3 linked regions of the Danio rerio genome follow. The protein of the gene in region 1 binds, or shares a complex with, the protein of each later gene. Links are inferred from orthologs where the notes say so. Each region holds a gene or a part of one and is shown in the gene's direction. Other genes may lie near its edges. The genes, in order: mettl3, rbm15 and wtap.

Evidence for each region.
Region 2: mettl3 (region 1) and rbm15 share a complex: the UniProt entries of both Homo sapiens proteins name them as parts of the WMM complex. The link is inferred for Danio rerio from reciprocal best matches to the Homo sapiens genes METTL3 and RBM15.
Region 3: mettl3 (region 1) and wtap share a complex: the UniProt entries of both Homo sapiens proteins name them as parts of the WMM complex. The link is inferred for Danio rerio from reciprocal best matches to the Homo sapiens genes METTL3 and WTAP.

Annotation. Positions count from the first base shown.
Region 1 is NC_133182.1:21,869,977-21,874,080, reverse strand, and holds the start of mettl3 (N(6)-adenosine-methyltransferase subunit METTL3), read left to right. Parts: upstream 1-1,425; 5' UTR 1,426-1,442; exon of another isoform or gene 1,443-1,445; intron 1,446-1,806; exon of another isoform or gene 1,807-2,145; intron 2,146-2,162; exon of another isoform or gene 2,163-2,247; 5' UTR 2,248-2,264; coding exon 2,265-2,367; intron 2,368-3,381; coding exon 3,382-3,569; intron 3,570-4,104. Other genes in the region: pop7 (ribonuclease P protein subunit p20), read right to left, coding at 979-1,425. UniProt on the Homo sapiens protein: The METTL3-METTL14 heterodimer forms a N6-methyltransferase complex that methylates adenosine residues at the N(6) position of some RNAs and regulates various processes such as the circadian clock, differentiation of embryonic and hematopoietic stem cells, cortical neurogenesis, response to DNA damage, differentiation of T-cells and primary miRNA processing.
Region 2 is NC_133183.1:26,684,724-26,688,817, reverse strand, and holds the start of rbm15 (RNA-binding protein 15), read left to right. Parts: upstream 1-1,290; 5' UTR 1,291-1,437; coding exon 1,438-3,999; 3' UTR 4,000-4,094. UniProt on the Homo sapiens protein: RNA-binding protein that acts as a key regulator of N6-methyladenosine (m6A) methylation of RNAs, thereby regulating different processes, such as hematopoietic cell homeostasis, alternative splicing of mRNAs and X chromosome inactivation mediated by Xist RNA.
Region 3 is NC_133195.1:33,721,965-33,725,994, reverse strand, and holds the start of wtap (pre-mRNA-splicing regulator WTAP), read left to right. Parts: upstream 1-1,203; 5' UTR 1,204-1,360; exon of another isoform or gene 1,361-1,548; intron 1,549-2,130; 5' UTR 2,131-2,138; coding exon 2,139-2,168; intron 2,169-2,263; coding exon 2,264-2,319; intron 2,320-2,410; coding exon 2,411-2,469; intron 2,470-2,622; coding exon 2,623-2,750; intron 2,751-4,014; coding exon 4,015-4,030. Other genes in the region: sod2 (superoxide dismutase [Mn], mitochondrial), read right to left, coding at 137-165. UniProt on the Homo sapiens protein: Associated component of the WMM complex, a complex that mediates N6-methyladenosine (m6A) methylation of RNAs, a modification that plays a role in the efficiency of mRNA splicing and RNA processing.

The DNA of each region.
Region 1 (4,104 bases):
CATAAACAGAAATGCAATGTGGTCAAAGAGAAATCGATGCCTTTTTTAAGCCAAAAGGGAGCCTAACATGGTACTGGCAAGGCTATTAATTAATTATTAAAATGCATTTATTTTTCCTATTAAAACTAAGATAGATTTGATGAAAATGTTTAAATGTGTGTGTGTGTGTGTGTATGTATGTATGTATATATATATATATATATATATATATATATATATATATATATATATATATATATATATTTATTTATTTATTTTTATTTTTATTTATTTTTTTTTTTTACCTTTATTATATACTGGTTTGCCATCATTATATTCTTATTAATAGGACAGTTCACCCAAAAGTGAAAATTTACTCACAATCACTTGGTTTCATACCTTTATGAGATTCCTCTTTCTGTTGAACATTAAAGAAGATATTTTGAAAAATGTTATAATGTTGTAACTATCGACTTCCAAAGTAGAAATCAAACACTATGGAAGTCAATGGTCACAGTTTTGTAAATTTTCTTCTTATTTCTTGTTCAACAGAAACAAAAACTCAAACAAGTTTCTGACAGGTAAAGGGATGAAGAAAATTATGAGAGAATTTTCAGTTTTGGGTGAACTATCCCTTTTATAAAATTAATAATAATAATATCTAAAATATATTGTTGTCTTAATATGCATACACATGCAGGAAGATACAATCAACAAAGTGTTGGTGGGGCTGTTTACTTTGCATTTAAGCTGTTTACTTTCCATTTAAGTTTACTATACACAAGAACACAAATACATAGTAGAAAAAAATACATATGGCACATTTCTTTCTTGTTTTTCAAATAAAACATTCAATAACACAGCAATTAATTAAAAAAAAAGTCTTGAAGCAGAAAAAAATCATAAATAATGCATCACTTTAAAAAACTTCTACATGCCACTAACGTCATACAATTGTTCATGAAGCCCTCATTCATTATATTGACACTGAAGCTGAAACTACGGATTGGGGTAAAACACCTTGATATGGATGGCCGAGTTATTCCGGGTACGGGTCAGATGCTCTCCGGCCTCGTCCGGATCTTCAGGCTCCAGGTCGTCGATGAGCTCCACCGTGGAGGTGTTTGCGGCGAGTTGCAGGGCGCCCTGGCTGGACGTCTGGAGCTGCAGAGCGATGTTTATAGCCCGGTTGATGGCCAGTCCCAGGCCGTGGATGCAGATTTCCCTGTGAGCGTCCAGAAGTTTCTGACACCTCGCTAGCTGAGCCTTGAAGTCAGTCTTCATGTTGACATAGACGTCGTTCCTCCGTTTGGGCAGTTTGCGAGGCAGTCGCTTGCGGAGGGTGAACTCTATTGGGTCCATCTCAAGGGTCGAGCCCTCGGGGGCAGCCAGGACTATTGGATTGTGGGGCACAGAAGCGGACACCGGGCTTCGTGGCTCAGCCATGTCGAATCACCTGAAAGGTGCTGCACAAACAGAACATTAATTCGCGTTTTAAAGATAAGACTCGTAACAATTTTACATATAAATGATGTGTGAATTATATTTTAACGACATGTATTTAAACGATTCCCCACAATGAACCGACTCATATGAATCATCCATTCGTGAATGGCTATATACACTGGGCGTGCATTATATTTCAGGGTATAACGCTGTATATTAAATAAGATATTACATCCACATCACATTCGAGAAACATTTTGTTTACGAAGCAGGTTCTCATTTACACAAACATTTCCAATTCATTGCCACTTAAGTTAGTGGATATAGATTTTAATATATAATGTTTGATGTATAATTTGGGATTTTGAGTAAGAGTAGTACCTTGAATTAGAAGAGCTTGTTTCAGATCCGCGCTTAATTCCTGGTAGATAAAGAATCTGCTTATTTACAGATCTGTCTTATCTCTCATTCCGGAAGACGTCTTGCGTACACTGGAAGTAATACACTATGTGATTACAAAATACATACTGTTCTTTTCTTGGTGGGGAAATATCTATTTTTATTTCGTATATCAAATAGTTATAATTGAATCCTAATTAAAAATATATATGAGTTAAAATACGTAAAAATATAAAAGTACCTGTATGAACGAGATCGTTGCTAATCAGTAAATATAGTTAGTGTCTCTTATTTTGAAAATAGAAACAGTTTAGCGGCACGGTGTGTATGGTGGTACAGTCACTCAGCGTTAGTTTGCTAGATGTAATCTAAACTTCATAAAACCCCTGTTTAATCAGTACTGTTTGTTTATTTGCTGTTTAGCTCGTTTAATTTAAGCCATGTCGGACACATGGAGTCACATCCAGGCGCACAAAAAGCAGCTGGATTCACTACGAGAGAGGCTGCAGAGGAGAAGAAAAGACCCAACTCAACTGGGCACTGGTGTGTTGAGTAATTTTACATTATCTGATATCTGAAAAATAAAATGTGTATTTTTAACTGTTTGTGTGATATGTAAAAACAAAGAAGACAGTTTTATGATTTTTATTATCATATCACTTTTTAAATGTATTAAAAATTGTAAAACATCCAGGGCATATCTTTATCGTTAACAATAAAATAAGAGATAATGATGATATGTACAGGCAACGTCGTGAGTTGTATGCTCAAGCAAATATGTAGGTGAGAGAACGTTATGTATTAATAACAGGTTAAGATAAGTCCCTTTAGAGCAAATTGTAATTGTTTTTATACAGCTCTTTTGTGGTTTTACGTTTAGCTGAAAGAGTCTCCTTAAGCTGCAGGTTGTGTAAAATGACTATGAGGATTGTGCTTCATTTTTTTATTATTCTGTTAGGCAAGAGTACAACCATTCCCTGCTTTAATGACAAATGTGATGTATGAATTTATTTGTCAGCTGGAGAACATACATAACAATATGTTGTTGACAAATCCTAGACCTAAAGATGTTCGATATCAGTCCTCTGTGAGAAATATTAGCGTAACTGTTATTTTTAATGTATAATGTATAATTAATGTATCATTTTCAATGTAAAATTATATAACTTACTATTTTCCCAGTGTTGTGTTGCAGCTAGAAGGACATCCCGCTTCATTCCGCTGTGGCGACCCCAAATTAATAAAGGGACTAATCCGAAAAGAAAATGAATGAATGAATAATTTACTGTTTTGCATGTTATTGTGTGTTTTCTTTCTTTTCTTGTTTTATTTGCTAAACATTAAACTACCTTTGTAAACCACGTTTCTGATATAATCAGATTTATTTACTTGAATTCAAATGCTAAACGTGGAAATATCTAATACTATCAGAAGTGTACTATCAAAATGGTAAAAACATTTGAATGTATGCTAAAAGAAAGTTCAGCGGTGTCGAAATAGTGAGTCTATGATGCCACCTGCTGTATGAGAATTTCCTAACAGTTCTTATTTTAACAGAGGTTGGAAGTGTTGAGAGTGGATCTGCAAGAAGTGACAGCCCGGGACCAGCAATTCAGAGTCCTCCACAAGTAGAAGTTGAGCATCCTCCAGACCCAGAGCTAGAGAAGAGGCTGCTGGGATACCTCTCTGAACTGAGCCTTTCCCTGCCAACTGATTCCCTAACGATCACCAACCAGCTAAATACAGTAAGAGCTGTGTGCACTAACAGCTATGAATCTGAACCCATATCTTTTTATTATTATTATTATTATTATTATTATTATTATTAATAATATTATTCCACCCTTTTTTAGAATAACTGTTAGATTGTCAAAAAGTGTTAAAGGAATACTACTCTTTTTTTTTTTTTTTTAATAGACTCATTTAACAAGACCCCAAGAGTTAAACTGTTACGATTTTAATCATAGATATCTATGTGGAGCACTTTTAGCTTAGCTTAGCTTAGCATAGATAATTGAATCAGATTAGACTATTAGCATCTTGCTCAAAAAAAGTATTTTGATTATTTTCCTATTTAAAGCTTGACTCTTCTGTAGTTACATTGTGTAACAAGACTGACAGAAAATGAAAAGTTGCTATTTTTTAGGCTTATTAGTCTAATAAATAGCATTCTGGCATAACAATTAACAAACTTTACTGTTACTTTTATCAATAGTGCTGTGTAATGTCATTGCGCCTGCTGCGTCCATGGTACGACAGTAAAATTCTTTTGATTATTAT
Region 2 (4,094 bases), on another chromosome or scaffold:
TTCTGCAATGTGCTTCCAAGGGACTATTCCATAAGGCAACATGAGAGGATCTGTGAATGCCAGTGAAGTGACGTAACTGAAGATGTAGGGCACGTGACACTAAAACATGGCTAATCTTGTAGTTCTAGATTGTTCAAACAATACTATGTTCATTATGTAGGGCGTGTTTTCAAAGTATGTAGCCTACTCAAATACTCAAGAAAGTGTTTGATTTTGAATGCAGTTTGTGCATTGTAAAAAATAAATAAATGACACGTTGGCTGTTCAATTTGTCTTCTGGTGAATCAACATTGGATGAATGTGTTTATGTGCATGATAAAGTTTTTAAAATAGTTGTATTTTGTTTTATTATCACTCATTTAAGGTTTTGGACGTTTTTGTATTAAGTTCAAAGCATTGTCCTATAAATATATTCCTATTTTTCTTCATTGAAAAAAATAATAATTTGGGGGTAATTTTTTTTAATTTTGATGGTTGAATTGATAATTGTATAAGTTAAAACTATAATGGTCCCTGAGGGTATGAGTAAAGCATGCAAATTGTAAAACACTAAATTGTTTTAAGATAAATTTTAACTAATTTAAAGGCAATAACATTACTTTTATTTATTTATTTATTTATTTATTTTTTACAATTTAACATAAAAAAAAATTCACAGACATGGGCATATAATCAGAGATCTGCATTGTTTTAGTTAAGAAATTATTTCAGTTATTAGGCTAAAACCAATGGCTAAAACCCATGGAAAATGCTCATCTATAGCTGACCGACATGGTTAAAAGGCTGTTTTTTCACGTCCGTTCACCTCTGTGAAAGGCAAACACCACCATCTGTTGGACATCAAGTGAACAACGAGAATGTTTTAGTTTTTTTTTATTTGGATTACTTACGTTTTATAAAGATTGCACAGTTCATTTAAATTTATAAGAAATAACATGTAGGTGAAACTCAGACTCTTAGCATCTATTAAAGTTAAACACCGTTTAATTTTAAAAATAGCCTATACAAAGCACTCTTTGTAGATTTATCGAGATGATTAATAAATATGGTTTAAGAAGCAAATATAATATTGGCAGTACATGTTCTCAAAGACTATATGTGTGGTTAGTTGAATGTCACCTCTGTGTTTTATAAAGTGGCTATAGTAAACATTTGGCTTTTGAAGCTAAAATGGTGTACAGCGAGACTGGGCGCTGTACTAGTGCTTTAGATTGACAGACGGATCAGCCAATAGCGCTGTCGTTTCTCAGAGATTCAAACCAATCAAAGTCGACGGGCGGGTCATGTTTTAGTCTTGACAAGATGGCGTATGCGGTTGTTTTGCCGCAGGGACACTGAACAATTTATTCAGTTTATCGTGCAAATTCGTTGACGTTGCGGTAGCATTACAGTTAAAAAAGTGTTTTGTTAGGCGCGTGAAGCCAGAGGACATCTAACATGAAAGGTAAAGAGCGGTCGCCGGTGAAAAAACGTTCAAGGGCCTTGGATGATATACGAGACAGGGGAGGAAGCCATCCGACCAGTAAGAAAATGGGGGTTATCTCGAATTCTGGCGGAGGAAGCAACAACGGCAATAGTTCGTCTAAAAGCGACGGGGGCTCTGCACGACGGGGACTGCTTGGAGATAAAAGAGACGGACGGGAATTTGACGGACATGTATCCAGTCGGACTGGTAATAACCACGGTTACACGAGCCCTGTTGCGAGCTCAAGCGGCAAAAATCACGCCTCGAGTCTGTCCTTAGAGGCGGCGCGCACCAACTCGCGCGGGGAGGCGCGCGCACCGCTTCCCACAAACGAAAGTGAGTACAAAACTTTAAAAATCAGCGAGCTTGGCTCGCAGCTGAGTGACGAGGAAATCGAGGACGGCCTCTTTCATGAATTCAAAAAATTTGGTGACGTGAGCGTCAAAATCAGCCGAGTGAACGACGAGAGAATCGCATTCGTCAACTTTAGGAGACCGGATGATGCCAGGGCGGCAAAGCACGCACGAGGCCGGCTGGTGCTCTACGACCGTCCTTTAAAAATCGAGGCAGTTTACTTGAACAGGCGGAGGAGTCGCTCTCCGGTGAAGGAGGATCATTTCTCTGTTGTTGCAGGCCATAGACATTTGCATACTCAGAGGCCGCTCTCTCCAACCGGCCTGGGCTACAGGGACTACCGGTTACAGCAGTTAGCACTGGGTCGGCTTCCTCCTCCCCCACCCCCGCCTCTGCCCAGAGAGCTGGAAAGAGAAAGAGAGTTTGCCTTTTATGAAGCGAGGGCGCGGCCCGCATACATAGCAGAGCGAGCCGCTCCTTTCCGTGAGGAGGACTTTATCTCTCCAGAGGACGACCAGAGAGCCAACCGCACACTGTTTTTGGGTAACTTGGATATTACTGTGACTGAAAACGATTTGAGGAGGGCTTTTGAACGATTTGGGACAATCACTGAGGTGGACATTAAAAGACCCACTCGTGGCCAGAGCAGCACCTATGGCTTCCTTAAATTTGAGAATTTGGACATGGCTCACAGAGCTAAAATTAGCATGTCTGGGAAAGTTGTGGGCCGAAACCCCATAAAAATTGGATATGGTAAAGCCACCCCAACCACAAGACTATGGGTGGGTGGTCTTGGCCCTTGGGTGCCTCTGACTGCATTAGCCCGGGAATTTGACCGCTTTGGAACTATTAGGACTATAGACTACAGAAAAGGGGACACCTGGGCTTATATTCAGTATGAAAGCCTGGACGCTGCTCAGGCAGCCTGCACACACATGCGTGGATTTCCTCTTGGTGGTCCTGACAGGAGGCTGAGGGTGGACTTTGCTGACACAGAGCATCGCTACCAACAACAGTTCTTGCAGCCCCTCCCCCTGCAACATTATGAAATCATGGCTGAGTCTTTCGTTCATCGTGCCACCCCTGAAGCCATCAGGGTCAGAGAACGGACTCCTCCGCCACTGCACTTCAGAGAAAGAGAACTCTATGCTGGGGCTGAGTGGCCAGCACCTACTATTCGTGAACGTGTACGAACTCCTGCATTTGAGCCCCTTGAACACTTAGAGCGTGAACGACGGCGAGAGGCCTGGTCACTGGAGCGAGAGCTGCCAGGCAGAGAAGCTGCACGAAAACGGCGGCTCATGGAGGACGGCAGACATCTGGAGTGTTCGCCTGACAGCAGCAGTGAGTGGGCGGCCCGCCGTCGCAGACCCCCGTCGCTTGAGGGCAGCCCAGGCGGCAGCAGCCGAGACGGACGTTTCAGTGACTCTGAGCGTCCAGCGAGAGCAGACCGGGTGTCCCCAGCACGAGAGAGCCGCAGCAGCCTGGACCGAGTTCCCGGTGAGAAACGCATCAAAAGCAACAGCAACCTCTCTGAGTCCAGCATCGGCGCAAGCCCTGCAGAACGAAAGCGCAAAGCGGGCGATTCAGCTAAAGGTGCATCCAAGAGGGACAGATCCGAAAGCAGCTCCAAAAGCAACCAAGCTTCAAAACAGGACGCAGGGGGGAAGCTGAGCATGGCCTGGAATGGCATGCTGCTCCTCAAGAACAGTAACTTCCCAGCCAGCATGCACCTCCTGGAGGGGGACCTGAGCGTCGCCACCAGCCTTCTCATCGACGGCAGCACGGGTGGAAAAGTCTCTCAGCTGCGCATCACACAACGGCTTCGTCTAGACCAGCCCAAGATCGACGAGGTGTCTCGGCGCATCAAAGTGGCAGGCCCAGGAGGCTACGCAGTTCTACTGGCAGTTCCAGGCAGCTCTGAGGAGACTTCATCATCAGACCCAGCAGCATCCACGCAGAGGCCTCTCCGCAACCTGGTTTCATACCTGAAGCAAAAGCAGGCCGCCGGGGTCATCAGTTTGCCCGTCGGCGGCAGTAGAGATAAGGACAACACTGGCGTCCTGCACGCATTTCCACCATGTGATTTCTCTCAGCAGTTCTTAGATTCTTCTGCGAAAGCTCTTGCCAAAACAGAAGAGGACTTCCTGGTCATGATCGTTGTGCGAGGAGCATCTTAACAGTCATAATACACACTAAAGTATTGTTAAATGCAAGCTTCTCTTAATGTCTCTTAATTGCATGCTCTCTAAAGCAGAAGTGGTACTAGAGTAAA
Region 3 (4,030 bases), on another chromosome or scaffold:
ATTGCTGTCCGCTTAAACGCTCAACCAAACAGGTAAATGTGCGCAGGTTATTAATACCGCCATTGATTATATAAACAACATTTGATATTCAGACAGCGGCATATAGTATTAGAACCGATTCAGGCTTTATCATTACCTCCGAACATATCCGACTCTGCACAGCATGCTCTAGTCCGTCACACAGTGATACAAGCGACCAACCAACAGACCTAAATTCGCCACATTACAACCTGCCCTTGAAATTTCAACTTCAACTTGGACTAGACCATACCATTTTGTCAAAATAGGGGTCTGAGAAAATTTTTTTTGTATTTTTATTGATTGCAGACTAAACTATAAAGAATATTTCCGTGTAAAAATAAATTATGAATATTTGAGAGCATAGTATATATTATATATATCTCAAGGGATCGATAGTACTACAATGTAAAGAGGGTGCAAAAACCATGCCCCCTGTCCCAGTTGGTGTAATTCAGTCAGTCATTCTAGGCCTAGGTCCAGAGTGAGACAGTAAATAAATGGTTTCGTTTTAGAACTTTTGTTGCCTGATTTATTAGGATTGTACATTTTGTTTTGCTTCACATTAAAGCAAAATGAATAGCTCAATTTCTTTCCACTTAGTAATTTTGCAAAGAGATTACAAGCAATGGGTTAAGAATTACACAGATCGTAATTCCTATGGCGAATATCTAATGTAATTAACTTGATCATGTATGTATATAGAGAGAGTAAAACGTGTTATCGTTTAGTTAGCATTAAAGCTTACATACCAGGGTTGCCAGATCAATCAAAAGAAACGTGTCAGAAAACAAACCGGATATGAGAAAGGACTTTTGGAAAACACTAAACAGGACACACAAAATATATATTTTAGTCCTTCTTTTCTTGTGCCTTTATTATTGATGTCGTGGTGGTCGGTATGTTTTGTGTGGTAATTTGTCTTTTACAACTAGCTACCTACACCTAACTAACTAACAAAGCAAAAATGAAGTCAATTAATAAATGAATGATTATATACATTAACGTTTGAATGTATGCATGTAAGTTATAAATAAGCTATGTTATCATAATTGTAATAGGTTGTTTGTTGTACTGTAAAAGATGCACTGTTGTTCAATATCAACCTGGCAACACAGTGACAGGAACGTGCTCCTCCTCCTCAGCGCTCGCGCGAACGAACACACTGATGCTGTGCGGCTGAACATCGCGCACACGCTGGTCATGGCGGACGGGCTACCTTTCGTCTAAATAAAAAACGCAACATTTTCCCTATCCCGAGAACTATATTAATAAAAATAACTCTTTCGTATCTCACATTGGAAGACATACGTGTCATTCTGGTCGAGGCGAACCGGCTCTGGTAAGTGGTAGGGATTTAATACGGCTATTTCAGATAAAGTGCTGCTTCTCGGAGAGGGAGAGTCTCTTCCTTCTCCGCCATTTTGTGACAGCGAAAATGCTCCAAGAAGGCGCCGGTACATTTTTATTCCTGTGCGTCTGCAGTCATTTATTGTCTATGTTTTAAGACGAATCTGCATTATCGGCTACGTAAGTTCTTCATGTCTTCCCCGGGAGTAACGAGCACCGTTCCTGAGACTATGAGAATGGCGCGCGGTTGTTTGCGGCGCAGAGCGTTTACCAAGTCAAATCGTTAATTGACGAACTCAATTCGCCTGAATTACGAAACTAACCTTCTTGTTTGGCTATATGAAATAATATTTAAGGGCTACAGTTTGCATTTTTCGATTATAATACGTTAAATGTGCAATTCAAGATGCATATAACGTTTTAGCAGTAAGTTAAGGTTAGGTCAAAATGTTAAGTGATATTTTTTCACATTTTCGCAGTTTAGTTTGTTTCCACATGTTTGCTGCATTTAATTATCAGAAAGTGAATAATTGGCCTTAACTAAGCAAATTCCTCCACAATATCTGTTGTAATTGAGAAACAACAACCTCTCCCTCGCCTGGTGGCCTATATTCGTTATAGCACACGTGTAGGCGTGTGAAATCCATGCAACTGTCTCTAAATCTTTTCTGCATATTGTTGCTTGAAATTGCGTGTGTAGGTTTGATTCATTGATTTATTTGAACTTACTAAGTGTTTGGTTTGTATGCTTCTGTCTTGCAGAGATCAGAATGACCAATGAAGAACCTCTCCCGAAGAAGGTGAGCTCTTTGTCCCAGTCTAATCTGATTATATGATTCTTTCTCCTGAACAAGGTCTCTTTATGAGTCTTTATTTTCTTTTTATGTACTTGCAGGTTCGCCTTAGTGAATCTGACATGAAGACGCTGACTCGAGAGGAGCTCTGTACCAGGTATGTAACCATTCTCTCTCCCGCAAAAACAAAGTATGCAAGTTGAAAGATTCTTGATTGTAATGCTGGTATGTTTTCTTTCCGGGTGTAGGTGGAAACAGCATGAAACTTACGTCCAGATGCTTGAGGCGAAATATGCTGATTTAAACTGTAAGTATGCACATCTTAAATGTTCTGAATAATTCATAGTCTTGAGTGCTTTACTCAAGCACAGAGTGTTCAGTCTTTGTGTTAAAGTAATGTTATTGCATAAAATGAATTGTTGGTAACTAATGCATTTGTTTCATGTTGAAATGTCTGCAGCCAATGACGTGACAGGCCTGAAAGAGTCTGAGGAGAAGTTGAAGCAGCAACAGCAGGAATCTGCACGCAGAGAGAACATTCTGGTGATGAGGCTTGCTACAAAAGAGCAGGAAATGCAAGAGTGTACAGTAAGTTTTTTTTTCTTTTTTTTCTTAATCACTACTACATCTGTTTACTTCTGCTTTATGATCAAGTCTATTCTTGGAAATATGTCAGTTTGTTTGAGTAGTACTGAGTGTCTGAGTTTTGTAGGTGCTGCCTAAGTTGCACACTTCCCTACTATAAGTAGGTGCAAATAGTAAGTTATTCAAAATGAGTATCCACTCAAGAAGAGTGCATGTGATTTGAGATGCTGCTTCTGCTCATGGGTCCCCACCATGATGATTTCTTTTTGTTTACATATAGCAGATGCATTTCTTTTTCTAATGATCTGTGAGACATCAAAAAACATTGCAAATGTAATAGCTGCTATGATCTAGTCAAATGTGTTTTCAAATGTCGGCCATGCAAATTCTAGCTGTAATTTATCATGCTGTACTGAAGCGGATATGAGCATAAATTTTCCAACATTTCAACATGCTGGCATAAAGCAAAACAAATGCAAGTGGTGGCGGATGCAGGCTTGTGCATGTCTACAGTGTTCCACCTTTTACTGCAACTTTCACATTCAGGCACAAACTTTATTTGTAGCAGGTACAAATGACATTACGAATAGGGTTTGGAGTTTCAACTAGACTAGTTTTCATTGCGGTGATTGTTTAATATTGGGACATCAAAGCACTTCAGTTATACAAGCTACTCATTAACTAGACAATGAGCTTGGTATTAAACAGTTGTTTCAAAAATTAAAACTTTAACTGTATACTAGTTTCAAAGCTGAAGTTTTTTATTTATATAAACAGGGTTCATACCATCATAGAAAACCTAGAAAAGTCATGGAATTTTGACATGGTGTTTTCCAGGCCTGCTAAAGTTTTGGAAAAACAAAAGCCACAAAGTTTTGGAAAAGTCATGGAAATTGGATATCTGTATACTTGAATAAAGGTTTTTTACTTTTCTTCCTTGGCCAATCATATACTCTCAAATTATTAGTGCGGTGTAAGCATTATCTAAATCAAATTTACATAGATATAAATTGAAACTAAATGGATTGTTGCGTATTTTATGATATGCTGTAATAAATTTGAACTTGCATTGTTTTTCTTTTACCTCATATATGTAGATAATGCATGAAACATTAGGCCATAAATATTTACTTGTAAGTCTTAGAAAAATCATGGAATTTTATTAGCAAAAATATGTATGAGCCTTTTATATACGTACTTGCATACTCCATTGACTTTTAATTTTTAGTTTGAAATGCTGAGATTCTAATGGTCTCTTACCTTGCAGACCCAAATCCAGTACC